Callithrix jacchus: one gene and its partners. The protein of the gene in region 2 purifies or fractionates together with the protein of the main gene of each other region. This does not show direct contact. Links are inferred from orthologs where the notes say so. Each region holds a gene or a part of one and is shown on either strand. Other genes may lie near its edges. The genes, in order: ARPC4, ACTR3B, ARPC2, ARPC1B and ARPC1A.

The links.
Region 1: the proteins of ACTR3B (region 2) and ARPC4 purify together in Homo sapiens (affinity purification with mass spectrometry; 5 studies listed by BioGRID and IntAct, counting the BioPlex papers as one, with this or other methods). This does not show direct contact. The link is inferred for Callithrix jacchus from reciprocal best matches to the Homo sapiens genes ACTR3B and ARPC4.
Region 3: the proteins of ACTR3B (region 2) and ARPC2 purify together in Homo sapiens (affinity purification with mass spectrometry; 6 studies listed by BioGRID and IntAct, counting the BioPlex papers as one, with this or other methods). This does not show direct contact. The link is inferred for Callithrix jacchus from reciprocal best matches to the Homo sapiens genes ACTR3B and ARPC2.
Region 4: the proteins of ACTR3B (region 2) and ARPC1B purify together in Homo sapiens (affinity purification with mass spectrometry; 5 studies listed by BioGRID and IntAct, counting the BioPlex papers as one, with this or other methods). This does not show direct contact. The link is inferred for Callithrix jacchus from reciprocal best matches to the Homo sapiens genes ACTR3B and ARPC1B.
Region 5: the proteins of ACTR3B (region 2) and ARPC1A purify together in Homo sapiens (affinity purification with mass spectrometry; 5 studies listed by BioGRID and IntAct, counting the BioPlex papers as one, with this or other methods). This does not show direct contact. The link is inferred for Callithrix jacchus from reciprocal best matches to the Homo sapiens genes ACTR3B and ARPC1A.

The regions. Positions count from the first base shown.
Region 1 is NC_133516.1:66,962,633-66,968,708, forward strand, and holds part of ARPC4 (actin-related protein 2/3 complex subunit 4), read left to right. Parts: intron 1-1,023; coding exon 1,024-1,135; intron 1,136-2,295; coding exon 2,296-2,391; intron 2,392-3,869; coding exon 3,870-4,040; intron 4,041-6,076. UniProt on the Homo sapiens protein: Actin-binding component of the Arp2/3 complex, a multiprotein complex that mediates actin polymerization upon stimulation by nucleation-promoting factor (NPF).
Region 2 is NC_133512.1:95,387,484-95,393,559, reverse strand, and holds the end of ACTR3B (actin-related protein 3B), read left to right. Parts: intron 1-2,750; coding exon 2,751-2,876; intron 2,877-3,773; coding exon 3,774-3,857; intron 3,858-4,736; coding exon 4,737-4,832; 3' UTR 4,833-5,929; downstream 5,930-6,076. UniProt on the Homo sapiens protein: Plays a role in the organization of the actin cytoskeleton.
Region 3 is NC_133507.1:139,979,899-139,985,974, forward strand, and holds part of ARPC2 (actin-related protein 2/3 complex subunit 2), read left to right. Parts: intron 1-3,039; coding exon 3,040-3,226; intron 3,227-4,085; coding exon 4,086-4,179; intron 4,180-6,076. UniProt on the Homo sapiens protein: Actin-binding component of the Arp2/3 complex, a multiprotein complex that mediates actin polymerization upon stimulation by nucleation-promoting factor (NPF).
Region 4 is NC_133503.1:14,190,473-14,196,548, reverse strand, and holds part of ARPC1B (actin-related protein 2/3 complex subunit 1B), read left to right. Parts: intron 1-537; coding exon 538-760; intron 761-3,012; coding exon 3,013-3,120; intron 3,121-4,538; coding exon 4,539-4,745; intron 4,746-4,822; coding exon 4,823-4,898; intron 4,899-6,076. UniProt on the Homo sapiens protein: Component of the Arp2/3 complex, a multiprotein complex that mediates actin polymerization upon stimulation by nucleation-promoting factor (NPF).
Region 5 is NC_133503.1:14,251,676-14,258,200, reverse strand, and holds the start of ARPC1A (actin-related protein 2/3 complex subunit 1A), read left to right. Parts: upstream 1-2,075; 5' UTR 2,076-2,178; intron 2,179-6,525. UniProt on the Homo sapiens protein: Probably functions as a component of the Arp2/3 complex which is involved in regulation of actin polymerization and together with an activating nucleation-promoting factor (NPF) mediates the formation of branched actin networks.

The DNA of each region.
Region 1 (6,076 bases), on a different chromosome or scaffold from region 2:
AAAAAATAATCATTTCTGGATTGATAATTAAAGGAAGCCAAACTGTGTTCAGTTTTAGTCTTTCCCTACTTCTAAGACAGGTATTCTCTCTGCATTTCTAAATGGTATATTGATTTGCCTGTATAAGTTGAGTATCCCTTAAGCAAAATGCTTAGGACCGGAGGTATTTTGGATTGTGGAATATTTGCAGATACTTAACCAGTTGAGCATTCCTAATTCCAAATCCAAATGCTCCAGTGAGCATCTCCTTTGAGCATCTTGTCAGCACTCAGAAACTTTCAGATTTTTTTTTTTTTGAGATAGAGTCGTATTCTGTCGCTCAAGCTGGAGTAAAGTGGTGTAATCTTGGCTCATTGCAGCTGCCACCTCCTGAGTTCAAGCAATTCTTGTGCCTCAGCCTCCTGAGAAGCTGGGGTTATAGGGGTGTGCCACCACACCTGGCTAATTTTTATGTTTTTAGTAGAGATGGGATTTCACCATGTTGGCCAGGCTGGTCTCAAACCCCTGACCTCAAGTGATCCACCTGCCTCAGCCTCCCAAAGTGCTGGAGTTACAGGGATGAGCTACTGTGCCCAGCCAGTTTCAGATTTTGGATTTCAGATTTACAGATTGGGGATATTTAACTTGTAGTTACTAAAATCAGCTGTCCTTTGTAAAGCTCCTACTATGTGCCAGGCACGCTATTAGATACCTGACCCTTTTTTGATCTCTCTCAGTCCTTGCCAATGAAATAGGAATCAGAGTCATTTTACAGATGAGAAAATTGAGATTCCAACAGGGTAACTTGCCCAGGAAAGTAACAGAGGAGGCTGGATTTCAAAACCTTTTCGCTCTGACTTCAGAGCCTGTGCTCTTTCTGCTGAAGAACACACTCACTGGTCCCCATCTTGGAGCACTTCTGCTTGTGAGTCTTCTATTCCTTGGACTCCATGGTGTCATAGTGATTCCAGGACTTGCTGTGGGGTCACTCTGACTGTTGTGTCCCTCTATAGTACAGAGTACTCTGTGACATTGTGTTTTCAGGAGTAGCAAAGAACTCCTGTTACAACCTGTGACCATCAGCAGGAATGAGAAGGAAAAGGTTCTGATTGAGGGCTCCATCAACTCTGTCCGGGTCAGCATTGCTGTGAAACAGGTAAGGTCACCTTGTAAGAGACGTAACATAAGGACCTCACTTTCAATCCAGGGGTCCCCATCTGAGAGATCAGCGTGCCACATTCAGATGGAGGCTCACTCTTGTTGCCTAGGCTGGAGTGCAGTGGCAAGATCTTGGCTCACTGCAACTTCTGCCTCCCAGGTTCAAGCAATTCTCCTGCCTCAGCCTCCTGAGTAGCTGGGATTATAGGCGCCCACCAACATGTCCATCTAATTTTTGTATTTTTAGTAGAGATGGGGTTTCACCATGTTGGTCAGGATGGACTCAATCTCCTGACCGCAGGAGATCTGCCTGCCTCAGCCTCCCAAAGTGCTGGGATTACAGGCATGAATCACCATGCCCAGCCAGTAGTGGGCAACTCTAAATTGTCAACAGGATAAAAACAAAACAGCATTATTAAATGCAGACTACATACTGTGTTCTACAGAAAGTTCTAACCCTGGGGCCTGCTTTCTTTGTTAGAATGGGAGATTAACAAGTGTTGGGAGGTGTTAAGGCATACTAGCAACCAGCTGCAGAAGTCTTTCTTTACAAATGTTGAGCGTTCAGGGCCGGGTACGGTGGCACGTGCCTGTAATCCCAGCTACTTGGGAGGTTGAGGCACAAGAATCACTTGGACCTGGGAGGTGGAGGTTGCAGTGGGCTGAGATTGTGCCACTGCACTCCAGCCTGGGCAACAGAGGGAGACTCCATCTCAAAAAAAAAAAAAAAAGAAATGTTGAGAGTTCAGAAGGGAGAAACTTCAGAGATTGTTGGATGTTCAGTGTTATAAAGCAGAGACCACCTAAAGTTATCTCTGATAGCCCAGGTGGTGCTGCGACACACCCTGGGAAATGTAACACTAGTGAAGTGGGAATGAGAAGGGCAGCTTGGCGTATCGCTGTAGACTCGTAAAGAAGCCATAAAAGACTCTGTTTGCCAGAATTACCTCTCTGGAATGGGTCCTCATTAAGAGATGCCCCAAGATAGACCCTTGTTTCAGTTGGCAGCCAGGTCCCTCACTTCAGTGATCCTTCCGAGTACCAAACCTCACTGTCTCCTGGGAGCTTTGGAGAAATTGGAGTCAGAAGACCAGGCTACAGGGTATTTTTGGCTTGGGTGTCGGCTTTAGAGAAATGTTTCTCCCTTTTATTTCCCAGGCCGATGAGATTGAGAAGATTTTATGCCACAAATTCATGCGCTTCATGATGATGCGAGCAGAAAACTTCTTCATCCTTCGAAGAAAGCCTGTGGAGGTGAGACCTTGTGACCCATGAATTTGCAATACCCAGGATCCTGCTACAGAATGGCCTGGAATTGTTTCTAGAACCTGGATTGCTGCTCTTCCAGCTGTTTGGCACCACCGCCTGAACTGAGAGTTGGCCTTCATCTCAGCTGGAGTGGGAACCAAGAGGATCAGAAGCCTAGGAAAAGTTGGGTCTACCTCAGCCATACAAAAGGCAAAAAAGGACCAGGAGTGGTGGCTCATGCCTGTAATCCCAACACTTTGGGAGGCCGAGGAGGGTGGATCATGAGGTCAGGAGTTCAAGACCAGCCTGGCCAAGATGGTGCCATCCCATCTATACTAAAAATATAAAAATAAGCCCAGTGTGATGGCGGGCACCTGTAATTCCAGCTACTCGGGAGGCTGAGGCAGAGAATTGCTTCAACCCGGGAAGCAGAAGTTACAGTGAGCCGAGATTGTGCCACTGCACGCAGCCTGGGTGACAGAGTGAGACTCCATCTAAAAAAAGAAAAAGGAAAAGGCAAAAAATATAAGATACATTGCTTATTCCCAGAGCCTACAGTCTAGCAGCAGAAAGAGCACAGTGATTTTGTTGTTGTTATTGTCGTTGGAGTTTTGCTCTTGTTGCCCAGGCTGGAGTACAATGATGTGATCTCGACTCACTGAAACCTCTGCCTCCCAGGTTCAAACCATTTCTCCTGCCTCAGCCTCCTGAGTAGCTACCATGTGCTACCGTGCCTGGTTAATTTTGTAATTTTAGTAGAGATGGGGTTTCATCATGTTGGTCAGGCTGGTCTCGTGACCTCAGGTGATCCACCCATCTCGGCCTCCTAAAGTGAATCATAGTCTCTTAAAGCCACAGTTAACACTGGGTCAGTTGTTGCCTGACTTTGTACTTGACCCTCCTCCACAGACTCCTTACCAACTTAACTTAAAGCATCCCCACAACTACCACACAGCAGGATATGCCATCATCAGATACATCAGGCATGTTGGCCAAGTTCTTCCTCATCCTGAGCCAAATTTTTCTCTCCCGGTCCTAGATCTAACCTCTTTGGCCACCTGGAGTAAATAAAATTCCTCTTCCTCACATACGCCTCCAGCAGAAAAAATACCTTAATCCCACTCATCTTCCACATCATCTCTTTTCTGGACTAAATGTTCCCTGTTGTTTGATTAGATTCTTCTGTAACAAGACTTCAAGTGCCTTGACTCATTCTGAATGTAGAGTTGTTTGTGCCACAGATAGTCTTCCAGAGATGTCTGATACACACAGAATTCTCAACTGGATTGAGTTGCTTGGATCCAACCTACACGCCCTTCCCCAGAGCAGGTGGGCTGCTGACTGGAAGGGTGTGTAGCTTGGGAGAAGATCACAGCCAGTGAGAAACATGTGAATGAGTGGAGGACATGACCAGCTCACTTCCCCTGGGGTGCTAATTCTCTCCTGTTCCTTCCCTTCTTCCTCCCTGCTGTCTTCTTTCCTAGGGGTATGACATCAGCTTTCTGATCACCAACTTCCACACAGAGCAGATGTACAAACACAAGTTGGTGGACTTTGTGATCCACTTCATGGAGGAGATTGACAAGGAGATCAGTGAAATGAAGCTGTCAGTCAATGCCCGTGCCCGCATTGTGGCTGAGGAGTTCCTTAAGAATGTGAGTATAGGCTTTTCTGCTTTCCTTCCAGAGGCTGAAGGATCTGGAGTCATGTTGAGAACTTAGCACCTGGTGGGAAAGGGGTGCTAGCAGTGTGTTTATATCTTTGGAACCCCTAGAACACAGCAGGTTGCTCAGGTGCTTTGGAGCTAGAAGGCCCCAGGTTCATCTCTGAGCGCTACAGGCATTTTCTGTATTTTTGGGTGTCTAGGATGTCTCTTAGTCTCTTGTAGGAACTTGGACACTCATTTCTATATCTCAGGATGTTCATAAAGTCCTTACCTCTATCTAGTTCAAACCCTAAGTGAGGCAAGTGAAGTCTGCATGTGAATTTTCCCGGAATATAGGACAGTTAATCATGGTATAATTCCACTTCTCAAATAGACATCAGTACTTTCCTTAGCGTCTGTTTCTTAGGCTTAAAGTCATGATTCCTTCAACCTGTTTTCCATCACTTGCATGGCCTAAGTCCTCCAGATTCCTCTTATATTGTTTATGCCTTTCTAATCGAAAGGACTGTAGTCATATGAAGAGGTGGAATTATTTACATTGGTAACTGATGACATAGTTCTTAGTTGTTTAGATATTCAAGACATGCCTTCTTTTTTTTTCTACTTTTCTAAACAATCTTTGGTTTGTTGGCATGTTCTACCCAGAGTGGCTGTGATCTCTAGGCAGTAGACTTAGTGTGTACTCTCACCAGTGAGTGCACACCCAGTCCAGAAGGAGCTCAGATTGCTAAAAATGGAAATTATACCTGCTTCCCCTGGGATTTAATTATACTCAGGGTGGCCAGCATACAAAGTAGCTGTGCTGTGCACACAGATCAGCGTGGTTGTTGAGCTCAGTCAGCTGTGGAGGCCGACAACCTGTGTGTGAAACCAGGTTCCACCGCCTACTTAGGCATGTCACTGAATTCTCAACTAAGCCTCAGTTTCCTCAGCTGTGAAATGAGGATTTGGTAGTTAATACATGTCTTTCAGAGTGGTTGAGCATTAAATGAGACCATATGTGTAAAATGTAGCACCTGGTACATAGTAAGCTTTCCATGTATTGCAGTATCAAAATTTTATGTCCAGGGTACTAGGAGGCCTCTAGATTGAACTGGAAGGGGAAAATAGCTCTTGTTCCAATTGAATCTTTGGCTCACTCATTCAATAATCATTTACTTATTTGTGACAATTACATTTCATAGAATTAGACACCTAAAAAAGCATGTTCACATGTCCCATTTATTACTCAAAACAATTTTTTTTTTTTTTTTTGAGATGGAGTTTTGCTCTTGTTACCCAGGCTGGAGTGCAATGGCACGATCTCGGCTCACCGCAACCTCCACTTCCCGGGTTCAGGCAATTCTCCTGCCTCAGCCTCCCGAGTAGCTGGGATTACAGGCACGCACCACCATGCCCAGCTAATTTTTTGTATTTTTTAGTAGAGACGGGGTTTCACCATGTTGACCAGGATGGTCTCTATCTCTTGACCTCGTGATCCACCCGCCTCAGCCTCCCAAAGTGCTGGGATTACAGGCTTGAACCACCACACCCGGCCTCAAAACAATTTTTGAGTCAGCTATTATCACCATTTTAGAGATCAGTAAACTGGGACTCTGGAATTAAAAGCAACTGTCCAAGGTCCCTCAGCCAGTAAGAGGAGGAACCAGAACATGGAACTGGGTTGTCTGACTCAGAGATCTAAGATAGTACCATAACCTATCTTAGATCTTAGATGTGTCAGGGGTCACAAATCAGGTGCATGCAAAGGTCGGGTGGCTGTGGAGTGGGCTAAGTATGGAGTATGGAGAGGGCAGGGTGAGGAGCTGCTGAGCACATGCCTCATCTGCAGGGGCTGGCTCCCACACAGCTCCAGCCCATTGAGCCCCCAGATTTGGATTTGTATATGGTGTCTCCCATGTTTTCAAGGTTAGCAACTAATTCATATAAATACCACGTGGGCCATACAGTACTCATCTTTGGAATAGTTGCAGGCATGGGCATTGGTTCACAACCTTTGGTCTCTAAAATGTCCAGGACTGTCTT
Region 2 (6,076 bases):
CTGCTGTGTTCAGGGCTGTTCCCTGTGAGAAGTGGGGGTCAGGCACCAGGAGTGGGGCGGGGTGGTAGGTTCCAGGAGATCTCTCACTGCTGCAGAGAGCCCTCTGAGGAAAGGTGGCCTCAGAACCACCTTGGTTCCTGTCCCTGAAGGCCAAGCCCAGCTCTTCCCATAAACATATTACACTTGGTCGGGCGTGGTGGCTCACACCTGTAATCCTAGCACTTTGGGAGGCTGAAGTGGATGAATCATGAGGTTAGGAGTTCGAGACCAGTCTGGTCAACATGATGAAACCCCTTCTTTACTAAAAGTACAAAAAATTAGCTGGGCGTAGTGGCGGGCACCTGTAATCCCAGCTACTTGGGAGGCTGAGGCAGGAAAATTGCTTGAACTCGGGAGGCAGAGGTTGTAGTGAGGCGAGATCACACCACTGCACTCCAGCCTTGATGACAGAGTGAGACTCTGTCTTGAAATACATGCATATATGTATGACTTAAGATTCTCGAAGCTGATAAAAAAAATTGTGGCACAGTTTGGTGAGACCACAGATAGCCACTTGTTGATGGTTTCCCATGGCTCTGTCCCCGGCCAAGCCACTGTAGAAGCTTTAGCTCAGGGGTGTCCAACCTTTTAGCCTTCCTGGGCCACATTAGAAGAGGAATTGTCTTGGGCTACACATAAAATACACTAACGCTATTGACAGCTGGCAAGCTAATAAAAAGGTCCTGTGCATAATTTTTTTCATATTCACTACAGATAAACAAAAATGTTGTTGGATTCAAAGGGTTGGACACAGCTTTGGACACAGCTTCTTTAGCCCCTGACGGCCTTTTCACCTTAGAAGCTGAGCAGCTACAGCATGTTAGATGATTTATGAAACATCTGCTGTTGGTAGGTAATCAGAGGTGAAATTTCTTTTTACAGACACTCAGGGTAGGATTGGGGCAGATCCCAGGTGGAAGGCCAGGTCCCCGGTGGCTTCCCCAAGTGGAAGGCCAGGTCCCCGGTGGCTTCCCCAGGTGGAAGGCCAGGTCCCCGGTGGCTTCCCCAGGTGGAAGGCCAGGTCCCCGGTGGCTTCCCCAGGTGGAAGGCCAGGTCCCCGGTGGCTTCCCCAGGTAGAAGGCCAGGTCCCCGGTGGCTTCCCCAGATGGAAGGCCAGGTCCCCGGTGGCTTCTCCAGGTGGAAGGCCAGGTCCCTGGTAACTTCCCATGGCTCCTGCCCCCTTTCATTCTTCCTGCACTGACTTCAGTTATCTAATCCTGAGTCTACGTGAGTGCTGTCACAGCAGTTCTAGGAGTTGGCATGAGAGAAAAATGACCCCTGTGCACTCCGTCCTGGCTGTCTTTCCTCCGGACAGCGATAAGCAGGAGTGGACTGCTTTCACACCATACAACTTAGAACCTGGGTTGCTGGGGACAGAAAAGTGATTTTTTTCCTGTACTGATTCCTTGTGACTTCTCCTTACTTGTAAACTTGGTGAGGGACTCACTGTTCACGCACACAGAGCTGACTGGGAGGAGTTCCTGAAAAACAGAGTTCTACAGTTGGTCAGAAACTTGGGAAGAGCTAACATATCTAGAGTGTCTTAAAGCAAGTAGGGCTTTTTGACACCTTGAAGGATTAATTTCCTTATGTAGTTTTCTCATTTGGTGTTTTCTCTAAGAAAGTTAAATCGGAGATATATTATTCCCCCTTGTCAGTGGGGAATACGGTTCAAGACCCCCCAGTGGGTGCCTGAAACTGCAGCTAGTACCAAATCCTGTATATACTGTGTTTATTCTTGTACATACATACCTATGATCACGTTTAATTTAGAAATTAGGCACAGTAAGAGACTTTTGAACAGCAATAACTAATAATAAAACAGAATAATTACTATAACAATATACTATAGGAATAGTTATATAAATGTGGTCTCTCTCTCTGTCTAAATATCTTACTGTATGTACTCACCCTTCCTTGTCTTGTGAGGGTATGAGATGATGCAGTGCCCATGGTGAGAGGGCGAGAGGTGAGTGACGTAGGTTAGGCCACTGTAGCCTCTGACGTGCATCAGAAGAGGACTGGCTGCTTCAGTGACCTGGGCCATCAAGCCATGAGGATGTCAGTGGCTGCAGGTCAGGAGCTGATGGTGTGGATGACTGACAGGCGGGCAGCATGAACAACACTGGACAGAGGGCTGGTTGAGGTTCTGGGCAGAGGAAGCGCAGCAAGCAGGTGCTTCCCCTTCCTCAGCCCCACACCGAGCTTCTGTGTGGCCACTGAGTGAGTCCTGGCACTGGAGGGCAGTACTGGCCGGGTGGCTCACTGGAGAACGTTTCTTTGGGTAACTTGGATGCTTTCTTTCAAGATCGTCCTTCTAAGAGCCTTCGAGCATCCATTAGAAGACTTTCCCCTGGTGATGGTTAAGGCAAAGCAGTGGGAGAGCCAGTAGTCATGTGGCTCAAGTCAGCTGGACAGTTTCTGTTGTTACTTGTGGCTTCCTGGTCCTTGTGAGGGGTAGGCAGGGGGAGCGTGAGGGAGCAGAATCGCCTTGTTTTTACTTTGCTGTAATGGAGGAAAGGATTCAGGAGCCATCTGTGACACATTGTTATCACCATAAAAGAAGAAATCTACATTTTTCCAATAGCATTAACTTTGCTTCTGTTTGTGTCTCTCATAGGGCCGGTGTGTCATGCCCACAAGCAACTGGGCCTGTGGGGTTCTGTTGCGGGTGATTTTACCCAAGGCTCCCTCTACTTTGTGTCTTGTAGAATGTCGTTCTCTCAGGAGGCTCCACTATGTTCAGGGATTTCGGACGCCGACTGCAACGAGATTTGAAGAGAGTAGTGGATGCCAGGCTGAGGCTCAGTGAGGAGCTCAGCGGCGGGAGGATCAAGGTAGGAGCCAGGGGCCTCCACGTGGTGCTGGGGGAGGAGGGCGGTTTCTGCGCTGGGCCCGACTCGGGCCTTCCTGACACAGAGTTTGTCTGGGCCATGTGAAAGAAAAACAAATGTGTGTTGCTTTCTGAGCTGCATTGTGACATTACCACAGAGGTTTGCTACCGGAGCTCCTTCCAGACTGGTGGTTCAGACCTATGGTCCTGGTGACACAGCCACAGCAGCTTCACAGTCTTCCTGGTCATACCTGCCAGCAGTTGCCTTTTGTGTCGTACTCTTACGACATGGGGCGCAATGACCAGTGTCCCCAGGAGATAGTTCTGATTTACGGTGAGGATCTATCTTCTCATGTTCTCTGGAAATGTTCTCATTAAACGAAAATAACTAATGTTAGCAGGGAGTTACAAGGCGTCTCTCCAAGATAGTAATTCTCAGGCAGCTGGTGATTATCTTGGGCTTCTAACCAAGAGCGGGCTTGGATAGGGGAGCTGGGGTCCAGGAAGAGAGTGCACGAGTCCACTGCTGGGAAAACATAGCTTCTTTTTGTATTTTGGGGATGGTCAGTCTTATTTGGGATGAAATGTTTGGTCAAAAAAAATCAGTGAGGCTAGTTGCTTTGTACTTCTGTACTTTAATGCCCTCAGTGTTGTGAGAGGGGGTTCTGCTTGCCGGGGCGTACCGTGTTCCTTTGAGCCCCCAGGGCTGGAATTGTCGTAGATCTGGCGGGGGATTTGGCAGCAGAGGCAGAGAGTCACTGACTGCCGGGTGCGAGGTTGTACTTGTGCCACTGAGTGGAGGGTGACCCTGGGTGAGGCCATGGTCGGGTCAGCTGGAGGGTGACTGGATCGCAGATGTGTCTGCACACGTGCAGTAAGTGAGAGCTGCTTTCTCTTCCAGCCGAAGCCTGTGGAGGTGCAGGTGGTCACGCATCACATGCAGCGCTATGCAGTGTGGTTCGGAGGCTCCATGCTGGCCTCGACTGTAAGTCCCTCTCTCAAGGGCTCTGTGTTTCCATGCCTGTGCTTGCTGTTGAGTTTGGGCAAATATTGTCTATGAAGGTGAAATAGTGTGCACTCTAAACAGACAATTCTGTAGATATAAACTATATATATATATATATTTTTTTCTTTTTGATACAGAGTCTTGCTCTGTCTCACTCTGTCGCCCAGGTTGGAGTGCAGTGGTGTGATCTTGCCTCACTGCAACCTCTGCCTCCTGAGTTTAAGCAATTCTCCTGCCTCAGCCTCCCAGGTAGCTGGGATTATAGCCGTCTACCACTATATCTGGTTAATTTTTTTGTTCTGTTTTTAGTAGAGATGGAGTTTCACCATGTTGGCCAGGCTGTTCTCGTACTCCTGACCTCTGGTGATCCACCTGCATTGGCCTCTTAAAGTGCTGGGATTACAGGTGTGAACCAATGTGCCTGGCCCTATGTAAACTATATCTTAATAATCACACAACACATTTATCAAGTATCCTTGATAATTAGGGGTTACAGATAACATGCTAAGTGGAATCCAAACATAATCTGAAAAAAATCCCACATTAATCATTAATTCCAGTGACTTTTCCAAATAATAATTATTTTTCCCCCTCAAATTTGTGAATAGCTCACACGTTGTTAGTGGGGGAGCAGCATTTGGTTGGTCCTAAGAAGATAGAGGCTGACAAAGCTTTTGAAAAGTAAAATAACCCCCCGTTTAGTAGTTCAGTCCATCAAAGAGGTAAAGTCTTCCAGCAGTGGTCCCGTGAGGCAGGGTGGAGGCTGGGATGAGAAGAGCGTCTTGCCTGTGCGGTAGCAGCTTTCTGCTGACCCTTTTCTGAAATGCGTTCTCTCCTTCTGCCTGTTGCCTCTGGTAGCCGGAGTTCTTTCAGGTCTGCCACACCAAGAAGGACTATGAAGAGTACGGGCCCAGCATCTGCCGCCATAACCCCGTCTTCGGAGTCATGTCCTAGTGTCTGCCTGAAAGCGTCGTCTGATGGTGTCACGTTGGGGAACAAGTGTCCTTCAGAACCCAGAGAAGGCCGCCGTTCTGTAAATAGTGACGTCGGTGTTGCTGCGGAGCAGCGTGCTTGCATTGCCGGTGCATGAGGCGCGGCGCGGTCCTTCAGTCAAAGCCATTTATCCGTGTGCCGACGCTGTCTGCCAGCCTCCTCCCTCATCCGCCCTCCTTCCCCACGTTTCTCCTCCTCCTTTCCTCCTCCTCCTGCTTCTCCTCCTCCTCCTTTCCTCCTCCTCCACCATCTCCTCCTCTTCCTCCTCCACCTCCTCTTCCTCCTCCTCCTCCACCTCCTCTTCCTCCTCCTTCTCCTCCTCCTCTTCTTCCTCCTCTTCCTCCTGCTCCTCCTCCTCCACCTCCTCTCCCTCCTCCTCCACCTCCTCTTCCTCCTCCTTCTCCTCCTCCTCCTCTTCCTCCTCTTCCTCCTCCTCCTCCTCCTCCTCCTCCTCCTCCTCCTCCTCCTCCTCCTCCTCCTCCTCCTCCTCGAGCTGCTAGCTGACAAATACAATTCTGAAGGAATCCAAATGTGACTTTGGAAATCATCAGAGAAAACAACCTTAGAAAATGGCACAAAATCGTTGTGCACCAGGAGAGAATGTGGGGGCGCAAACCCTTTTCTTCCCAGCCTATTTTTGTAAATAAAATGTTTAAACTTGAAATACAAATCGATGTTTATATTTCCTATCCTTTTGTATTTTATGGTATTTGGTACAACTGGCTGATACTAAGCACGAATAGATATTGATGTCATGGAGTGCTGTAATCCAGAGTTTTTAATTGTGAGGCATGTTCCGATATGTTTATAGGCAAACAAATAAAACAGCAAACTCTTTTGCCACGTTTGCTAGAAAATGATTATACTTTATTGGAGTGACATGGAGTTTGAACACTAAACTGTATTGTATGAGAATTACTACAGATCATGTATCTTTTAATTTTTTTGTTTGAACTTTCTGGAGCTGTTTTATAGAAGATGATGGTTTGTTGTCGGTGAGTGTTGGATGAAATACTCCCTTGCACCATTGTAATAAAAGCTGTTAGAATATTTATAAATATCTTTCTGCTGTAGTGTGGTGGTCTTTTGGTTTTCTCCCTTGTCGCTGTGCTTCTCTTTGACATCATTGGAGGATTTGATTAACACCAAGTTTGTGGAAGGAAATTTCTTTTTTATTTGTTGGGAGGGTGGATGGAGATTCACTC
Region 3 (6,076 bases), on a different chromosome or scaffold from region 2:
GACCTTGTGATCTGCCTGCCTTGGCCTCCCAAAATGCTGGGATTACAGGCGTTAGCCACCGCGCCTTTGTCACTGTTAGCAGTTGCTGGTGCTAGCTTACTTCGTCACTTCACCTATTATTTTTAGACAGTCTCATTCTGTTGTCCAGGCTGGGATGCAGTGGTCCAGTCATAGCTCATTGCAACCTCCTTCAAATCTTGGGCTCAAGCAGTCCTTCCACTTTAGCCTCTCAGTAGCTGGGAACTACAGGCCCTCGCCACCATACCCAGCTAATTTTTTTATTTTTTCGTAGAAACAGGGTCTCACTGGCTGCTCGCCAGACTGCCAGAACAGACTAAGGAGGTCTCAAACTCCTAGCCTCAAGCAATCCACCCACCTCGGCCTCAGCCTCCCAGAGAGTTGGGATTACAGCCATGAGCTACCATACCTAGCACCTTTTTTTTTTTTTTTTAATCTCCAAATTGGTGAGATGAATGTGTCACAGAAATAAAAGCCAAGATAACACTGTAGGCTTTTGGCAGTATCATCATATTAAAGAAAGAGAAGTAAAGAAACATACAGATCTAGAACAGAAAAATCATGTCCAGAGTCTTGGGCATGCTTGTCAAAGCCAAAATCCTGACGTGGAAAGTATGTTTCTGTCTCTGGGCCTCCTCCTGCCTCCCACTAAATCATAGACGTCACCACATTGCAGACCCTGTCTTCATACAAGTGTAAAATGTAAAAGTATGTGATAGTAGTGTCAATCAGGCACAGTGGCTCACACCAGTAATCCCAGCACTTCAGGAGGCTGAGGTGGGTGAATTGCTTGAGCCCAGGAGTTCGAGAACAGCCTGGGCAACATAGTGAGACTCCTGTCCCTCCAACCTGGATGACAGAGCAAGATTCAGTCTCAAAAAAAAGACAGTAGAGTCTCTTCTTTTTTAATGGGTTTATCTAGGCATGTTTGGGAAATCTCAGCAAATCATACTAGATTTTTACTTCTCTTCATCCTTAGAAGCCTTACTTAGAAACAGATTTTAGCTTAGCTGTAGTTTTATTTGCTTTGTTTTATTTGGCTTCCTAAAACAAGCAAACCTCAGCTCTAAATCTTTTCTTTTTTCATCTAGCCTTGTAGTCTGTGTGTTTATCTGGTTTTCAGCTACCCAAAATGGAATCATGTTATTTAATACTGGAGTGCCAAAAATGTGCTAAGCATTATCTATTCCAAAGATTTAGACACCCATCCTTCCAAAGAGCCCCTGCTCAACAAAAAACGTAGACCTCAGGAATACTTTTGAGAAAAAATGAAATAGTAATGAGGTGTAAAGTTTTCAGATACTTAGAAGTGTGAAATCCATACATACAGTTCTGGCAAAGTTATTCCCGTCAGTTGCCTAGAATATAAAATGATCCTCAGTGATACACAAATATTCTTGCGAAAATATCTCTAGGCCTTTTGACACTTATTAACCATTTGATTCGCTAATCAAGTGTTCCAGCCCTGCTTCCAGGAATTCATAGTGGACATGCTGTCAAGGCAGGTCAGCCAGTGGTTTCAGTACCTGTTCTGCACCTGTTGTGATGACCTATCATGTTCCACTCATTTTAAGTACTATACATTTTTTTAATGCTCACAACAGTCTCCCCTATCTCCATAGCCCTCCCCACTTTTTTTTTTTTTTTAGAAACAGAGGTTCGCCCTTGTTGCCTAGGCTGAAGTACAGTGGAGCGATCTCAGCTCACTACAACCTTCGCCTCCCAGTTCAAGCGATTCTCCTGCCTCAGCGTCCTAAGTAGCTGGGATTACAAGCACCCACCACTATGCCTGGCTAATTTTTGTATATTTAGTAGAGATGGGGTTTCTCTATGTTGGCCAGGCTGGTCTCCAACTCCTGACCTCAGGTGATCTGCCCGCCTCAGCCTCCCAAAGTGCTGGGATTATAGGCATGAGCCACTGCACTTGACAATTTTTTTTAAGGTCACGAAATGACAAGGCCAGGATTTGGACCCAGTTCTGTTCAACTCAAAATAGAGTGCCCTACACTTACGTATCATGCTGCGCTTGACAAGTCACGTCACTTTGAATCTCCTTTCCCTCCGTAAAACAGTAACCTTACCTAACCTGCAGACTTCAGAGCATTGTTACGGAGATCAAATGAAGTAAAATGTTCTTAAAAATACTAAAAGTTTTACAATGTATACCAGTAAAAGCTACTGGGGAGATATATGTATGAACAGATAGTTGGTTTTTCTACCCTTCCTCCTCAGAGTTGGCAGTGGCACGGAGAATGGTCTATATTATTATCACAAAGCTACCCATGTGTTGGCCGTATTGATACTTGGCACATTAAACTATCAGAGAAAGATATGTGGCTCCTTTACAACTGTATCTGGAAGAGTAAAAAGTAAATTTCCAATCAGAGTTCACAGGTTATGACTTTCTCCCCATTACATATTTGTAATCAGTCGTCTTTGATACTGATTCAAATTTTTTATTAACATTAGTTAAGGCTGGGCGTGGTGGCTCATGCCTGTAATCCCAGCACTTTGGGAATCCAAGGCCGGTGGATTGCCTGAGGTCAGGAATTCAAGACCTGTCTGACGAACACGGTGAAACCCCCTCTCTAAAAATAGAAAACAGTTGGCTTAGCATGGTGGTGTGCGCCAGATCCCTGCTACTTGGGTGGCTGAGGCAGGGGAATTGCTTGAACAGGGAGGAGGAGGTTGCAGTGAGCTGAGGTCACACCACTGCACTCCAGCCTGGGCAACAGAGCAAGACTCCGTCTCAAAAAAAAAAAAAAACCTTGTTCATTCTATATATTTATAAGAATCTTATAAAAAATTAAGATTTTATTTCACCTCATTTTGCCCTGCGAGGTAAATGGAAATGGACTACCTGGATTGAAAGTACAGACACTGAGACAAAGTTAAAATGTCAGTAGAACCTAGAAAAAAAATTGTTTAATTGCCTCTAGTCTCTATTTACTTGGTTGAGATAGTATGCTGCTTTTTTTTTTTTTTTTTTAATATAACTGCTGGTTTGTTTCCTCCCTCCAGGATACAATGTCTCTTTGCTATACGACCTTGAAAATCTGCCTGCATCCAAGGATTCCATTGTGCATCAAGCTGGCATGTTGAAGCGAAATTGTTTTGCCTCTGTCTTTGAAAAATACTTCCAATTCCAAGAAGAGGGCAAGGAAGGAGAGAACAGGGCAGTTATCCATTATAGGGATGATGAGACCATGTGAGTATAGAATTTGGTCCTAAAGCCTGGATATGGCCGTCTCACCACCATGGCACCTACTGAAAGAAATATGGCTTGGTCAAACCTTAAGCTATATTGTGTGAAAGTGTTTTTATCATAAAATGTCTTAAGCCGGGATGTAGATGATAGGGCAGAAATCAACCACTCTTCATACTCTCCAGATACTGAGAGCTGACAGATGGTGGCAAGAGAATCCAGTGCTGGCCGGGCGCGGTGGCTCAAGCCTGTAATCCCAGCACTTTGGGAGGCCGAGGTGGGTGGATCACAAGGTCAAGAGATCGAGACCATCCTGGTCAACATGGTGAAACCCCGTCTCTACTAAAAATACAAAAAATTAGCTGGGCATGGTGGCGCGTGCCTATAATCCCAGCTACCGAGGAGGCTGAGGCAGGAGAATTGCCTGAACTCAGGAGGCGGAGCTTGCAGTGAGCCAAAATTGCGCCATTGCACTCCAGCCTGGGTAACAAGAGCAAAACTCCGTCTCAAAAAAAAAAAAAAGAGAGAATCCAGTGCTTTCCTTTAAGGCACCACTGTTCTGAGTCCTCTTTAAGAGGATAGCCTTGATAGTCAGCAGGCAGAGTGACCATAGGTTCCATGTTATATTTATAAGACAGTAAAATCTACTTCTGATATAATTTCCATCTCCTGCCTGTCTCAGGGCAGGGCATTCATGTTTTACACTGACTTGTTGACCATGAATATCATCTCATTTGGCATGCCTTTATATTATGATTCAAGAGATTTATGACTTTAGCCTTCTGATGCACTTGTACATCAAGTTATTGGCAAAACCCCTTTCTGATTCTGTACTTATCCTCCTGGGTTTTGTTCCCCTCAGGTATGTTGAGTCTAAAAAGGACAGAGTCACGGTAGTCTTCAGCACAGTGTTTAAGGATGACGACGATGTGGTCATTGGAAAGGTGTTCATGCAGGTATGGAGCAGACATCTTGGGGGAAAACCATGCATGGCAACTTATAACTTTGCAACAAAACATACCATAAGCATAGAAAATAAAAAGAGATCTAGCAGGTCTGTTAATGTTAGAGTTTGTTGAAAATTTAGTAGACAACTCCCCGTAAAACTCAGTGAATGTTGTTTGGTTTTGGTTTTGCTGTTGTTTTTTGGGGGGTTTTTCTGGGGGTTTTTTTGGTTTGTTGTTGTTTTTTTTTTTTTGCGATGGAGTCTTGCTCTTGTCACCCAGGCTGGAGTGGGATGGCACAATCTCGGCTCACTACAGCCTCCACCTCCTGGGTTCAAGTGATTCTCCTGCCTCAGCCTCCCGAGTAGCTGGGATTACATCCACCACACCGGGCTAATTTTTGTAATTTTAGTAGAGGCAGGGTTTTGTCATGTTGGCCAGGCTGGTCTCAAACTCCTGACCTCGAGATCCACCTTCCTCAGCCTTCCAAAGTACTGGGATTACAGGCATGAGCCACCACACCCCGGCGTTGTTGTTTTTTGAGATGGAATCTCAATCTGTCACCAGGCTGGAGTGCAGTGGCAAGATCTTGGCTCACTGCAGCCTCCTACTCCCAGATTCAAGTGATTCTCCTGCCTCAGCTTCCCGAGTAGCTGGGGCTACAGGTGCGTGCCACCATGCCCAGCTCATTTTTGTTATTTTTAGTAGAGACAGGGTTTCACCATGTTGGCCAGGCTGGTCTCTATCTCCTGATCTTGTGATCCACCCACCTCGGCCTCCCAAAATGCTGGGATTACAGGCATAGGCTACCACTCCCAGCCTGATATTTTTTTTTTCAGTGGTTCCAGTTTTACAGAACAGAACTAAAGGGTGAATTGAGAACTAAACATGCTAACTATAAGTGAATATTATGTATCCTTCCTACTGTCGGGTCTTTGACCTAACCTCTTGTGATTCCTCAGATTTCTAGAAAGGTCTGCTCTTGGTTTAGAATGGACTCTATAGCAAATTCTTTGGCAGTAGATAACCTGTTAACAGGTAGAGTTGTTGAACTGACAGGGTGGCCCTGAATTTGGATGGGTCACCATAGAGTACTTCCTTCACAAGAAGCTCATCTTAAGAGGAGTCATGAGAGTTAGCAGGGCATTTAGCAACTGGATTTGTGGTGTAGTTGCATTCAAGTCATTGTGTACAGTTGTTAGTTCCTGGCTCGAGGACGGTATGAGTTCATTGGTCAGGTGACATTCAGGGTGATTTCTTCTGAGATGGCTCAGCATTCCAAATCTAGTACAGTGGTGAAATTTTTTTAAAAAACATTAGTACCGTCATTCTGTTCCTTGACAGGTTGGTAAAGATTTTAAATTCTGAAGCAGACTCTCTTTTGCCAAATAGAATTGAAAGACAGCTGTGCTTAACAGTGAGGATACTTTGCATAGCCTTCTAAGTGGCTAGGGAAATCTTCAAAAGTGATATCCTTAATTTGATCCATCCCTAGTGGCTTTTGTGTTTTGGCTAATTAATCAGAAGCTCTAGTTTGGGAGTCCCTATACAGAAAAATTGGAATATTGACACTTCAGCATTTGCTAGTGCTGAACTTGATGAAAGAATATATAAATATACACATATCTCTTGGGTCCTAAAAGTAAGCCTCTAGATAGGCATTATATGTGTTTTTATGCAAAATTGACAGGGGAATTAAGTGCAGTAGCTCAGAAATTGGGCTAAATCCAGAGTAATAAACTAACTTTAAAAGCTCTGAAGTATATATTTAGATTTGGCTGGTTTTTTTACCAATCTTGTTCCATTTTATTCCAGGAAACAACTTATTTTTATACTTTAAACAGATTTTTGGAGAGTGTAACAGAGATTTGTTCCTTAGGAGAATTTTGTGTATTCTTTTTGGCATATG
Region 4 (6,076 bases), on a different chromosome or scaffold from region 2:
GGCCGAGGTGAGTGGATTGCTTGAGGCCAGGAGTTCAAGACTAGCCTGGCCAACATTGCAAAAACCCTGTCTTTACTGAAAAATGCAAAAATTAGCCTGGCGTGGGGGCATGCACCTTTAGTTCAAGATACATGGGAAGCTAGGGCAGGAGTATCGTTTGAACCCAGGAGGTGGAGGCTGAAGTGAGCCGAGATTGCACCACTGCACTCCAGCCTGGGCAACAGAGTGAGACTGTGTCTCAAAGAAAGAAAGAAATTGCTAGGTGGTGCCGGCCTGTAGTCCCGACTACTCAGGAGGCTGAGGCATGAGGATCACTTGAACCCAGGAGGCAGAGGTTGCAGTGAGCCAAGATCATGCCACTGCACTCTAGGCTGGGTGACAGAGCAAGACTCCATTTAAAACAAAATAAAAAGTGCCTGCTGGGCAGATACAGCTTCCATCTGAATTGTGGCCTTTCAGCCTCTTCTACATGGCCACCGTAGAGCCACCTCTGCCTGAGTGCCTTCAGCCTCGTGTGTCCCCTCTGTCCCCCCACAGGCATCGACTGGGCTCCTGAGAGTAACCGAATTGTGACCTGTGGCACAGACCGCAATGCCTACGTGTGGACACTGAAGGGCCGCACGTGGAAGCCCACGCTGGTCATCCTGCGGATCAACAGGGCCGCCCGCTGTGTGCGCTGGGCCCCCAACGAGAACAAGTTCGCTGTGGGCAGTGGCTCCCGTGTCATCTCCATCTGTTATTTCGAGCAGGAGAATGACTGGTGGGTGCCTGGATGGGGCCAGAGTGGACTGGAAGGGACGAGGTGGGGGACTAAAGTGTCCCCGGGAAGTACCAAATGAGATGTCAGGACCCCTGTTCCTACGTCCCTAGGGGAGTCCATCCTCTCCTCTCTGGGCCTCATTCATGAGGCAAGCGCCTCTCTGTAGTGCCCGGATGTTTTCACTGCCAGCGGCTTGGGATAATGGCACTGACCACCGGAAACACCTCCGGGGGTACCTCGCTAAGCCCTGCACACACAGCAGTCCTGACCTCCCTGCAGCTCCATGGACTGGGCATCTCTCACTGTCCTCACTCCACAGATTAGCAAAGTGAGGTCCTGCTGCGAAGTCACTTTCTCAAGGCTCCGCTCACAAGCTTGCAGCCACATCTTGGTCTTTTTTTTGAGAGTCTCTTGCTTGAGCCAGGCTCGAATGCAGTGGCACAATCTCAGCTCACTGCAACCTCCACCTACTGGGATCAAGTGATTCTCCTGCCTCAGCCTCCTGAGTAGCTGGGATTACAGGCGCCCACCTCACGCCCAGCTAATTTTTGTATTTTTAGTAAACACGGGGTTTCACCATGTTGGCTAGGCTGGTCTGGAACTCCTGTCCTTAGGTGATCTGCCACCTCAGCCTCTCAGAGTGCTGAGATTACAGGCGTGAGCCACTGCACCCAGCCATTCTTTTCTGTTTTTTTGAGATGGGGTCTCATTTTGTCACCCATGCTGGAGTGCAGTGGTACAATCACAGCTCACTGCAGCTTGAAACTATTAGGCTCAAGTGATCTTCCTGCCTCAGCCTTCTGAGTAGCTGGGATTACAGGCATGCACCATCACGCCCAGCTAATTTTTGTATTTTTAGTAGAGACAGAGTTTCACCATGTTGGCCAGGACGGGTCTCAATCTCTTGACCTTGCGATCTGCTCGCCTTGGCTTCCCAAAGTGCTGAGATGACAGGCATGAGCCACAGCGCCCGGATATTTATTAATTTATTTATTAATTAATGTATTTATTGAGAAGGTGTTTCACTCATTGGAGTGCCAGGCTGGAGTGCAATGGTTTGATCTCAGCTCATTGCAACCTCTGCCGCCCGGGTTCAGGCACTTATCCTGCCTTCAGGATTACAGGCATGCGCCACCATGCCTAGCTAATTTTGTATTTTTTAGTAGAGACAGGATTTCTCCATGTTGATCAGGCTGGTCTTGAACTCCCAACTTCAGGTGATCTGCTTTCTTCTGCCTCCCCAAGTGCTGGGATTATAGGCATGAGCCACTGTGCTGGCCATATATATTTTTTTGAGACAAGGTCTTGCTCTGTCACCCAGGCTGGAGTGCAGTGTTGCAGTCATAGCTCACCTTAGTCTCAGCCTTCTGAGTTCAAGTGATCGTCCCACTTCAGCCTCCTGAGTTGCTGAGATTACAGGCCCAGCTCATTTTTTTATTTATTTTATAGAGACAGGGTCTTGTCATGTTGTCTGGGCTGGTCTTGAACTCCTGGCCTCAAGCAAGCCTTCCACCTCAGGCTCCCAAAGTGCTCAGTCTACAAGCCTGAGCCATAGTGACCAGTCCACGTCTTAGTTCTTTATGTTTTTGAGACAGAGTCTCTCTCTGTCACTAGGCTGGAGTGCAATGGCGCCATCTCTGCTCACTGCAACCTGTGCCTCCTGGGTTCAAGTGATTCCCCTGCCTCAACCTCACAAGTATCTGGGACTACAGGTGCTCGCAACCATGCCCAGCTAATTTTTGAATTTTTGGTAGAGTTGGGGTTTCACCATGTTGGGCAGGATGGTCTGGATCTCCTGACCTCGTGATCCACCTGCCTCGGCCTCCCAGAGTGCTGGGATTACAGGTATGAGTCACCATGCCTGGCCATGTGTTAGTCCTTAATCTTCTCCCCTGCATGGCTGAGGGCAGAGGCCAGGCAGGAGCATCTGAGAGACACAAATTTGAATCCCACCATGGCCAGTTAGCAGCTGTGTGACCTCTGGTGGTGGCATTACTTTGCTGAGCCAGCTCGGAGGGTGACTGTGTGGCTTACAGTATAGAGGGCACAGAGTTCTCACTCCAGAAGCAACCCAGCACATCCCTGCTGCCCCACGGCCCTGGCAGCCTCGTAGGCTGGGAATAGCCATTTGCCTCCCTCCTGGGTCTTCGGTGGCTGCAGGGAGCAGTGGGTGCCTGGAGTCCCTGGTGCTGAGGTCCGTGAGTCCCACCTGCCTGTCCCTCTCTCCTTGTCTGCCTGACCGCTGTGCCCAGGTGGGTTTGCAAGCACATCAAGAAGCCCATCCGCTCCACCGTCCTCAGCCTGGACTGGCACCCCAACAATGTGCTGCTGGCTGCTGGCTCCTGCGACTTCAAGTGCCGGTGAGACAGGGCACCATGGGGGAGGGCGGGGCTGATGTCAGCTGACTGCCGAAATCACAGCAGGGATTGGGGGGTTGGGGGACCTCCACCTGAAAGTTCTACACCTCACCTTCTAGACCTCCTCCAGAGCTGCTATCAGTGGATGACCTGGGCATCAGTTGAAGGTTCTAGTCCCTGGGGAACCCTTCATGTCTCAGCAGGACGTGCCCCCGCCCACCTGTTTTATTTTTTTGAGATAGGGACTTGCTCCATTGCCCAGACTGGAATGCAGTGGTGTAGTCATAGCTCACTGCAGCCTCCAAATCCTGGGCTCAAGTGATCCTCTTGCCTCTCATCTTCCCAAGCAAGACTACCATGCTCAGCTAGATGGGCTTTTTTTTTTTTTTTGAGACAGAGTCTTCGCTCATTAGCCCAGGCTGGGGTGTGGTGGTGCCATCTCTACTCACTGCAGCCTTTGTCTCCTGAGTTCAAGTGGTTCTCCAGCCTCAGCCTCCGGAATAGCTGGGACTACAGGTGCATACTACCATGCCTGGCTGATTTTTGTATTTTTAGTACAGATGGGATTTCACCATGTTGGCCAGGCTGGTCTCAAACTCCTGACCTCGGGTGATCCGCCCACCTCGGCCTCACAAAGTGCTGGGATTACAGGCTTGAGCCACCACCCCTGGCTGACAGGATCTTGCTGTGTTGGCCAGGGTAGTCTTGAACTTCGGCCCTTGCCACCACTTAATGCCAGAAAAGTTCTTCCCAGGGCCTTCTCTCCTGACTCACGAGAACTTCCTACCCCTATAGTTTCCTGGCTTCAGTCTGAAGGAAAATGAGTTGGTGTGCTTATTCATACCAAGGTATAAATGACTGAAGCTGAAACAAACCCTGCTTCATTGTTTTAAGGCCTGAAACAGAGTCTCCAGCTGCCATTCACTGTTTTTATTTTTTTTTTGAGACAAGGTCTTGCTCTGTCACCCAGGCTGGAATACAGTGGGGCAATGACAGCTCACTGCAGCCTCGACCTCCTAGTCTCAAGCAATCCTCCTATCTCAACTTTGAAAGTAGCTGGGACTATAGGCACAACCACTATGCCCGGGTAGGTGCTTTTATTCTTAGTAGCAATGGGGTCTCACTATGTTGCCCAGGTTGGTCTTGAACTCTCGGCCTCAAGAAATCCTCCCACCTTAGCCTCCTAACAGTGTTGGGATTACAGGCATGAGCCACTGCGCCCAGCCACCTGTTAACCCTTTAAAAATATATTTTTTTAAATTTTGAGTCAGTCTCTGTGGCCCAAACTGGAATGCAGTAGTACAATCACAGCTCACTACAGCCTTAACCTCCTGGGTTCAAGTGATCCTCCCGCCTCAGCCTCTTGAGTAGCTGAGACTACAGGTGTGCACCACTTTACCCTTTTTTGCCTCTCCTGATAGGATCTTTTCAGCCTACATCAAGGAGGTGGAGGAGCGGCCGGCACCCACCCCATGGGGCTCTAAGATGCCCTTTGGGGAGCTGATGTTTGAGTCCAGCAGTAGCTGCGGCTGGGTACATGGCGTCTGCTTCTCAGCCAGTGGGAGCCGCGTGGCCTGGGTGAGCCATGACAGCACCTTGTGCCTGGCTGATGCCGAGAAGAAGATGGCGTGAGTAGAGGCCATCCCTGGGGAGGAGGTGAGTGCAGAGGAGTGGGACAGCATGGCTGACAGCTCTCTCCCCTCAGCGTCGCGACCCTGGCCTCTGAAACACTGCCGCTGCTGGCGCTGACCTTCATCACAGACAACAGCCTGGTGGCAGCGGTAAGGAATGGGGAGGGAAGGAGGGGGGGGTGTGGTCAGAACTTTGTGGTAGGCTTCGCAAAGAGCCCAGCAACTCTCACTCATCTCTTCCCTCCTTTCTCCTGTCTCCCGCCTTTTTTTCTTCCTTGCATTCTTGGGTTATGCTGCAGTAACCGAAAGACCCTGGCTGCAGTTGCTTAACAGAATAAAGATTTGGCCAGGGCCGAGCGTGGTGGCTCACACCTGTAATCCAAGCACTTTGGAGGCCAAGGCGGGCGGATCACCTGAGGTCGGGAGTTCAAGACCAGCCTGACCAACACGGTGAAACCCCATCTTAAAAAAAAAAAAAGATGCCGGGCGCGGTGGCTCAAGCCTGTAATCCCAGCACTTTGGGAGGTCGAGGCAGGTGGATCACAAGGTCAAGAGATCCAGACCATCCTGGTCAACATGGTGAAACCCCGTCTCTACTAAAAATACAAAAAATTAGGTGGGCATGGTGGTGTGTGCCTATAATCCCAGCTACTCAGGAGGCTGAGGCAGGAGAATTGCCTGAACCCAGGAGGCGGAGGTTGTGGTGAGCCGAGATCGCGCCATTGCACTCCAGCCTGGGTAACAAGAGTGAAACTCCATCTCAAAAAAAAAAAAAAAACAAAAAAAGATTTGGCCAGGTATGGTGGCTCATGCTTAAAATCCCAGGTTAAGGTGGAAGTATCACTTCCACCTTATGAGGCCATGAGTTTGAGACAACACCGTGAGACCCTTGTCTCTGCAAAAAGTTAAGAAATTAGCTGGGTGTGGTGGTGTACCTGTAATCTCATAATCCCAGTTACTTAGGAGACTGAGGCAGGTGGATCACTTGAGCCTGGGAGGTTGAGGCTTCTGAAGTGAGCTATGTTCATGCCACTGCACTTCAGCCTGGGCAACAGAGAATCTGTCTCAAAAAAAAAAAAAAATCCAGGCTTGGTGGCTCATGCCTGTAATCCTAGCATTTTTGGAGGCTGAGGAGGGCAGATCACTTGAGGTCAGGAGTTCAAGACCAGCCTGGCCAACAAAGCAAAACCCTATCTCTAATAAATATACAAAAATTAGCCAGGCATGGTGGCGGACACTTGTAACCCCAGCCAGCTACGGGGGAGGCTAAGGCAGGAGAACTGCCTGAACCCAGAGGCAGGGGTTGTAGTGAGCCAAGATCCTGCCAC
Region 5 (6,525 bases), on a different chromosome or scaffold from region 2:
ACAGGAGGCAGAGCTCAGGCAGTAATGCGAGAGATGGGGAGCAGCTGTAAATACACATGACACTTCGTGGGCTCACCCTACTCACCTCATGTGCCATCGGATTCCTAATAGGCAACAGACCAGTACTGGTCAGCAGCCAGGAGGTTGGGGACACCTGCAGTAACTCGAAAGAACACAGCAGGTCTGGACAGGAGAGGTGGCTCATGCCTGTAATCCTAGCAGTCTGGAAGGCTGAGGTGGGCGGATCACCTGAGATCAGGAGTTCAAGACCAGCCTGGCCAACGTGGTGAAACCCCGTCTCTACTAAAACTACAGAAATTAGGTTGGCCTAGTGGCACGCGGCTGTAGTCCTAGCTACTTGGGAGGCTGAGGCAAGAGAATCACTTGAACTCAGGAGGCAGAGGTTACAGTGAGCCGAGACTGTGCCACTGCACTCCAGCCTGGGCAACAGAGCAACACTCTGTCTCAAAAAAAAAAAAAAAGAATAACATATCAGGTCTGAAACTGAGAGTTTGACAAGTATACCTACGTAAACCTCAACCTGCAACCAAGCACTGGGATAAAATATGTAAATACCAAAGGGAAGGAGACAAATCCTTGGTTGGCCTGGCACAGGGGCAGGGCTCACACCCAGTGCTTTGGGAAGCAGAAGCTGAAGGACTACCTGAGCCCAGGGGTTCAAGAACAGCCTGTACAATATAGGAAAACCCCATCTCTACAAAAAAATATATAAAAATTAGCCAGGCACAGTGGCTCACACCTATAATCCCAGGGCCTTGGGAAGCTAAAGAGGGAGGATCGCTTCAGCCCAGGAGTTCAAGACCAGCCTGGGCAACACTGCAAGACCCTGACTCTACCAAAAAATAAAAATTAGCTGGCCAGGCACAGTGGCTCACGCCTGTAATCCCAGCACTTTGGGAGGCCGAGGCGGGCGGATCATCTGAGGTTGGGAGTTCGAGACCAAGCCTGACCAACATGGAGAAACCCTGTCTCTACTAAACACAAAATAATGACCGGGCATGGTGGTGCATGTCTGTAATCCCAGCTACTCGGGAGGCTGAGGCAGGAGAGTCGCTTGAAACCAGGAGGCAGAGATTGCAATGAGCCAAGATTGTGCAACTGCACACCAGCCTGGGCAACATGAAACAACGTCTCTAAATAAATAAATAAAAATAAAAATTAGCCAGACGTGGTGGTGTACACCTGTAGTCCCAGCTACTTTGGAGGCTGGGGCGGGAGGACCGCTTGTGCCCTGAAGTTCCTGGCTGCACTGAGCTATGATCGAGCCACCGCACTCCAGCCTGGGCTACAGATCGAGACCCTGTCTTAATGAAAAAAAGAAAGAAAGAAAAAGAATAACAAAAAGGAAAGCTCTCGATTAGTCCCATCCGTGGGGGCTGAAGCTGCTCCAGAATTTCTACGGGTTCAAGGGCAGCAGCCTAGTTGCAGATGGGGGAACCACGGCAAACCTCAGAAGCTGTCCTCTGTGAACTGGGGGCATAGCCTAGCTCCCCCAACCTTTTTCCCTGCGGCGCCATCTTGGGAGAAAGGAACAAGTGACTCTGCCCCGCGAAGATTCGAGAAGGTTCCTGGGGGACTTCAGGGGCTTTCCACAGTGGAAGCACGGCGGGGGCGGGGGCTCCCTGCACGAAGCAGCGCTGAGGTCGACTGGTTCTGACCTGGGCTCTCTGAAGAGAGAAAAACTCAATCGTTGGTCAGGTCCAGGAGCTCCAAAGACCCCCCAATCCTCAGTCACTTATTTCCTGACAAAAGAACTTGCGAAACTGCCGAGGCGCCACACTTTGGCTCGCGATTGTGAGGAAACTGATTGAGGAACGGAATGGGACGCCCATGCCGCTTCGCCAGCACTTGACAGGCGTTCCGTGGGGCCACATTCCCTCTGAAAGGCCACCGCCTGTGCCGCAGCAGCAGCAAATCCGACCGCGTACCCTTCCTCACCACAGTCTACCTAAACCCGGACTGCGCGCCTGTGCTATGCGCATGCGCAGACCGCCCGCACGGCCTCACCGCGCAGGCGCCGTGGCTATTTCCGGGATCTGTCAGCCGCTCCCTCTGGGCTTCCGTCCTCCGCCCGCGCCCGCCGGAGCCTGTTCGCGTCGACTGCCCAGAGTCCGCGAATCCTCCGCTCCGAGCCTGTCTGGACTCCCCGGACCCCAGGTAACGGCCAGCAGGGGCAAGCGTCTCACCCTGTCGGCCTCTCTTGTCCCGGTCTCGCGCCGGACTTGGACCCGCGGGGGCGGTGAGGTGGGGGCTTAGGCCGCGGGGCCCCGAGGCTGAGGCGCGGCCGGGTCTGCTGGGGCCTCCTGAGGGGGCGGGGATCCCCTTTCTCCGCGGGTTCCCTGGAGTTTCTCTCTTGATGTTCAAGCTCCTAGCCGTCTCCAATGCCAGAATTAACGACCTATTCTGCGCCCCAGGGTCCTGATTGCACCTCTGCTGGGGACATTTGTCACCGTCTCTAAAATTGTGTCAAGCAGGAGAATCCCCTAATCGAGCGTCCCGCGGGACCATTCATCTCTTTAGCGTCTGGAGTCGATCCCTGCATACAGCAGGCGCCCATAGGATGTTTGCCTCCTCTCTAGGCAGCCCTCAATCTTTCAGTTACTGGGGAACCTTTCCGATCTCGAGAAAAACCTTCTTCTGAGTTCTTTCAGATCCCCCTGCATGAGTACCGCCTTCCCCCAAGTCAAAATCGCACCCTTCTCGGCTCTCCTGTTCGTAAAATCTTTTATGCCAGTCTTGGCACCACCACTTTGTTGGGTGATCCTGGGAAGACTGCTTCTCTGTGCCTGTTTTCCTCATGCAATAAAAAAGATTCTTACTGTTTTGCTAAGGATCAAATGAGCTTATTTGCATAAATTGCTTAGAATAGTTCCTGGCCTAGAGTAGGTGATCAATAAATATTCACTATCATTACTGCTTCTGGGCGTTCTGTGCATATCTGTCTCCCTTTCCTTTTCTACCTTCTCCACTCTTAGCAACCACCAACCCTCCAGACTTGAAGACCAGAATGGTGTCAGCCTTATTTATGTTTCTGTCCCCATCCCAGTATTTACAACACTGCTGGGAACATGGTAGGCACTTAATAAATTATAGCTTAGAATCTTTGATTATAAAGCCATCTGTTCTACTGCAGCTTTGGAACCTTCTGTCTGTGTCAACTCATAGCTTAAATTGCCGAGATTATCTTAATTCTGCCCTCTCTTCTCAATTTTATCTAGTCTTTCGGTTTTACATAGGCCCTGAGTTTTCAGGTAAAAACAAAGGAGGGGTATCAGTCAGGAAGCTGTTTTTGCCCCGTTAGGAAGTGGGTAACTGTGTGGCTGTTTTCTTCCTTTTTTTTCCTGCCCTGCAGCCTCGACCTCCTGGGCTTAAGAGATCCTCCCACCTCAGCCCCCTGAGTAGCTAGGACAACAGGCATGTGCCACCACAGTGGGTGAATTTTCATTCATTCATTTATTTTTCTGGAGACAGAGTCTCACTCTGTCACCCAGACTGGATAGAGTGCAGTGGCATGGTTCAAGCAATTTTCCCGCCACAGCCTCCTGAGTAGCTGGGATTACAGGGTGAGCCACCACGCCTGGCTAATTTTTTTTTTTTTTTTTTTTTTTTGTATTTTTTGTAAAGACAAAGTCTCGATATGTGGCCCAAGCTGGTCTGAAGCTCCTGAGCTCAAGCTCTCCCCCCACCTCAACCTACCAAAGTGCTGGGATTACGGGTGTGAGCCACGACACCCAGCTTATATGGCTATTTTCTCCCATATTCGGAGTATGTATTAGAAGATCTTGTGGAGTTCATCTACTAATCACACTTAAAGGAAGGGATCATTTTGGAAAACTCTTGTTTTGGAGGTGGAGTTGCCATACTTTAATCTAATTGTTTCCCAGTGCTGAAACAAATCCTTCATGAAGAAGTTTAAAATGGTCTCTTGGTGAGGTTGGTGCCTGGACTGGAGCCTGTCTGAACATTGAGGAGGGTGTGGTGACCTTGTTGGATTACTTGATATTGCTGGGTTGGGTAATGAGAGTGGTTAGAAACTAGGTGAATCACGGTCTTAAAAACTGACCCAAAACCAGGGACAGAAATTCCCACTTGTGTGAATACTTTCAAGCTCCAAAGGAGTAGGGCCAAGAATTTATAGCAAATGTCAACAATTATAAGCTCAGAGGAAACTAACTGCTGGGTTCTATGGTTGGTTTAAAAGCCTTGGGTCAAAGGAAGAAAGGGAACCTACTGACATGTATTTCAGAATAGGCTCTGTACTACTTGCTTTCACACGTTGTCTCATTTAATTCTCCTTGTGATGTCAGTGGTATATCCACTTTACAGAGGGGAAAAAAAATGAGATTGAGAAATATTAAGTGACTTGCCCAGGGTCTCATAGCTAGTGTGTGTCAAAGCCAGGATTCAAAGCCAGCCTTGGCTTCAGAGCCCATGGCTAGCCATACATCAGAATAACTCTATACACAGTGATAAAGAAAAGGGATGGGGGGCAGGCACGGTGGCTCATGCCTGTAATCTTAACACTTTGGGAGGCTGAAGTGGGCAGATCGCTTGAGCCCAGGAGTTTGAGACCAGCCTGGGCAACATAGAGAGATCCTTGTCTCTACAAAAAAATTAAAAGTAGCAGGGCATAGTGATGCATGCCTGTGGTCCCAGCTACTCAGGGGGCTGAGGCGAGAGGGTGGCTCACATTTTTATTTGTCCCCTTTTCTTCCTCTCTAGCTCTACTAAGACAAAGCTTTTCAGATTTCATTTAAACATTAACCATAGTTTAGAAGTTATAATTATCACCCTATGACAGAAGGTACCCTTTCTTAGTATATAATTCAGGCTATTAGGAATTTCTTCTGCATTCACTGGGTTTCATGAATGCAAGCTGTGTTTGCTAGGTGCATTCTAAATTTGACAAACATGAGTGTTGTCCTGGCCTACAGACTTAAAATAGCCATATGATTAAAAAAGAAGTACAGGTCTTGAGTATATGTCCAAACATGGAACTTGAATGATATGGCAAAATTAGAAATGCACACCGTTGTGTAAATGGTCACCTCTTTTGAAGTCTTTGGTACTTTGCTAATAAAACTGAGTTGAAAAATGAGAAAGCCTTTTGTCTACAGCTGTGCTTTTCAACTGGACATGAAACACGTACTTTTATGGCACAAAGATATTCACATCAAATTACTGATTTGCAGAGCAGTTTTATTTTCAGTTAACAAAGAAGCTTATCAAATGTGGCTTTTGAACTAAACCACTTTTAATTAAGGAGCTATTTTATGACACAATGTGTTATTTTGAGTAGCTGTAACTAAAATCTGTTGTGATGGAACAATTTGGAGTGAGCATCTGATATCAGAGATAAAGAGAGAAGCCTGCAGTGAGCATCTGGAAGTCTTAAAAAAAAATTAAACATTCTCATTTGAATTCATCTAAAATTTTTAAAATTGCCAATTCCTAAGCTCTTTCTTTGTCAGTCGTAGTTTGCTTTCTTGACTGTATAACAGAAAAAAGTAATGACTTAAGTATCTTCACTCTTAGAATGGAATGTGAAATGCTGACATTTCTCTGCCAGTTCAAGATATCAGATGTTATTTATTTAAAGTTGCACTTACTTTAGTTCGCCCTTTTTTTTTTGTTTTGATACAGAGTCGCACTCTGTTCCCCAGGCTGCAGTGCAGTGGCACCATCTTGGCTCACTGCAACCTCCACCTCCCATGTTCAGGTGATTCTCATGCCTCAGCTTCCGGAGTAGCTGGAATTATGGGTGCCTGCTACCATGTCTGGCTAATTTTTGTATTTTTAGTAGAGACAGGGTTTCACCATATTGGACAGGCTGGTCTCAAACTCTTTACGTCAGGTGATTCATCTGCTTTGGCCTCCCAAAGTGCTGGAATTAAAGGATTGAGCCATCGCTCCCAGCCTGGGTTTCTTTACAGTTAGCAAAGGTGCTGCTTCTGCTTTCTAACTGAGATTAATTTCTGCTTTGTCAGCTGAACTCTCATTGTTCACTTTACAACCTTCTAGTGGCCCTTCCATTCATTTCCTGCTTGCATCAGAATTCATATCTCACATTTCAGCCTCCACCCTAGGTTGACATGACTTATACTTAAGTGTGTTGAAACTTGAGTTTATAGTGAGGGTGCCTCCTGGAAATGATAAAGTTGAGGGTAGAGGAAGGCTGGCTGCTTTTTGAAAAATGTTCCCATTTCAGGTAATGGTTGTTTCTTCAAGTGTATCTAGATTTGGGTACCTATAAAATAGAGAATTGTATTTGATTTTTAATTTAATGTTTTGCAGATTCCTGCTTTTCATTTAGTTACAATTGAAAGTTTAAAAAGTATTATCACAAACACCTATGTACTCTTTGCTTAGATTCAGGGTGTGTATATTTTCTGTCCTGAACTATTGAAAATAAGTTACACTGACTGGGCATGTGGGCGCATGCCTGTAATCCCAGCACTTTGGGAGACTGAGGCAGGTGGATCACTTGAGCCCAGGCAGATCAGC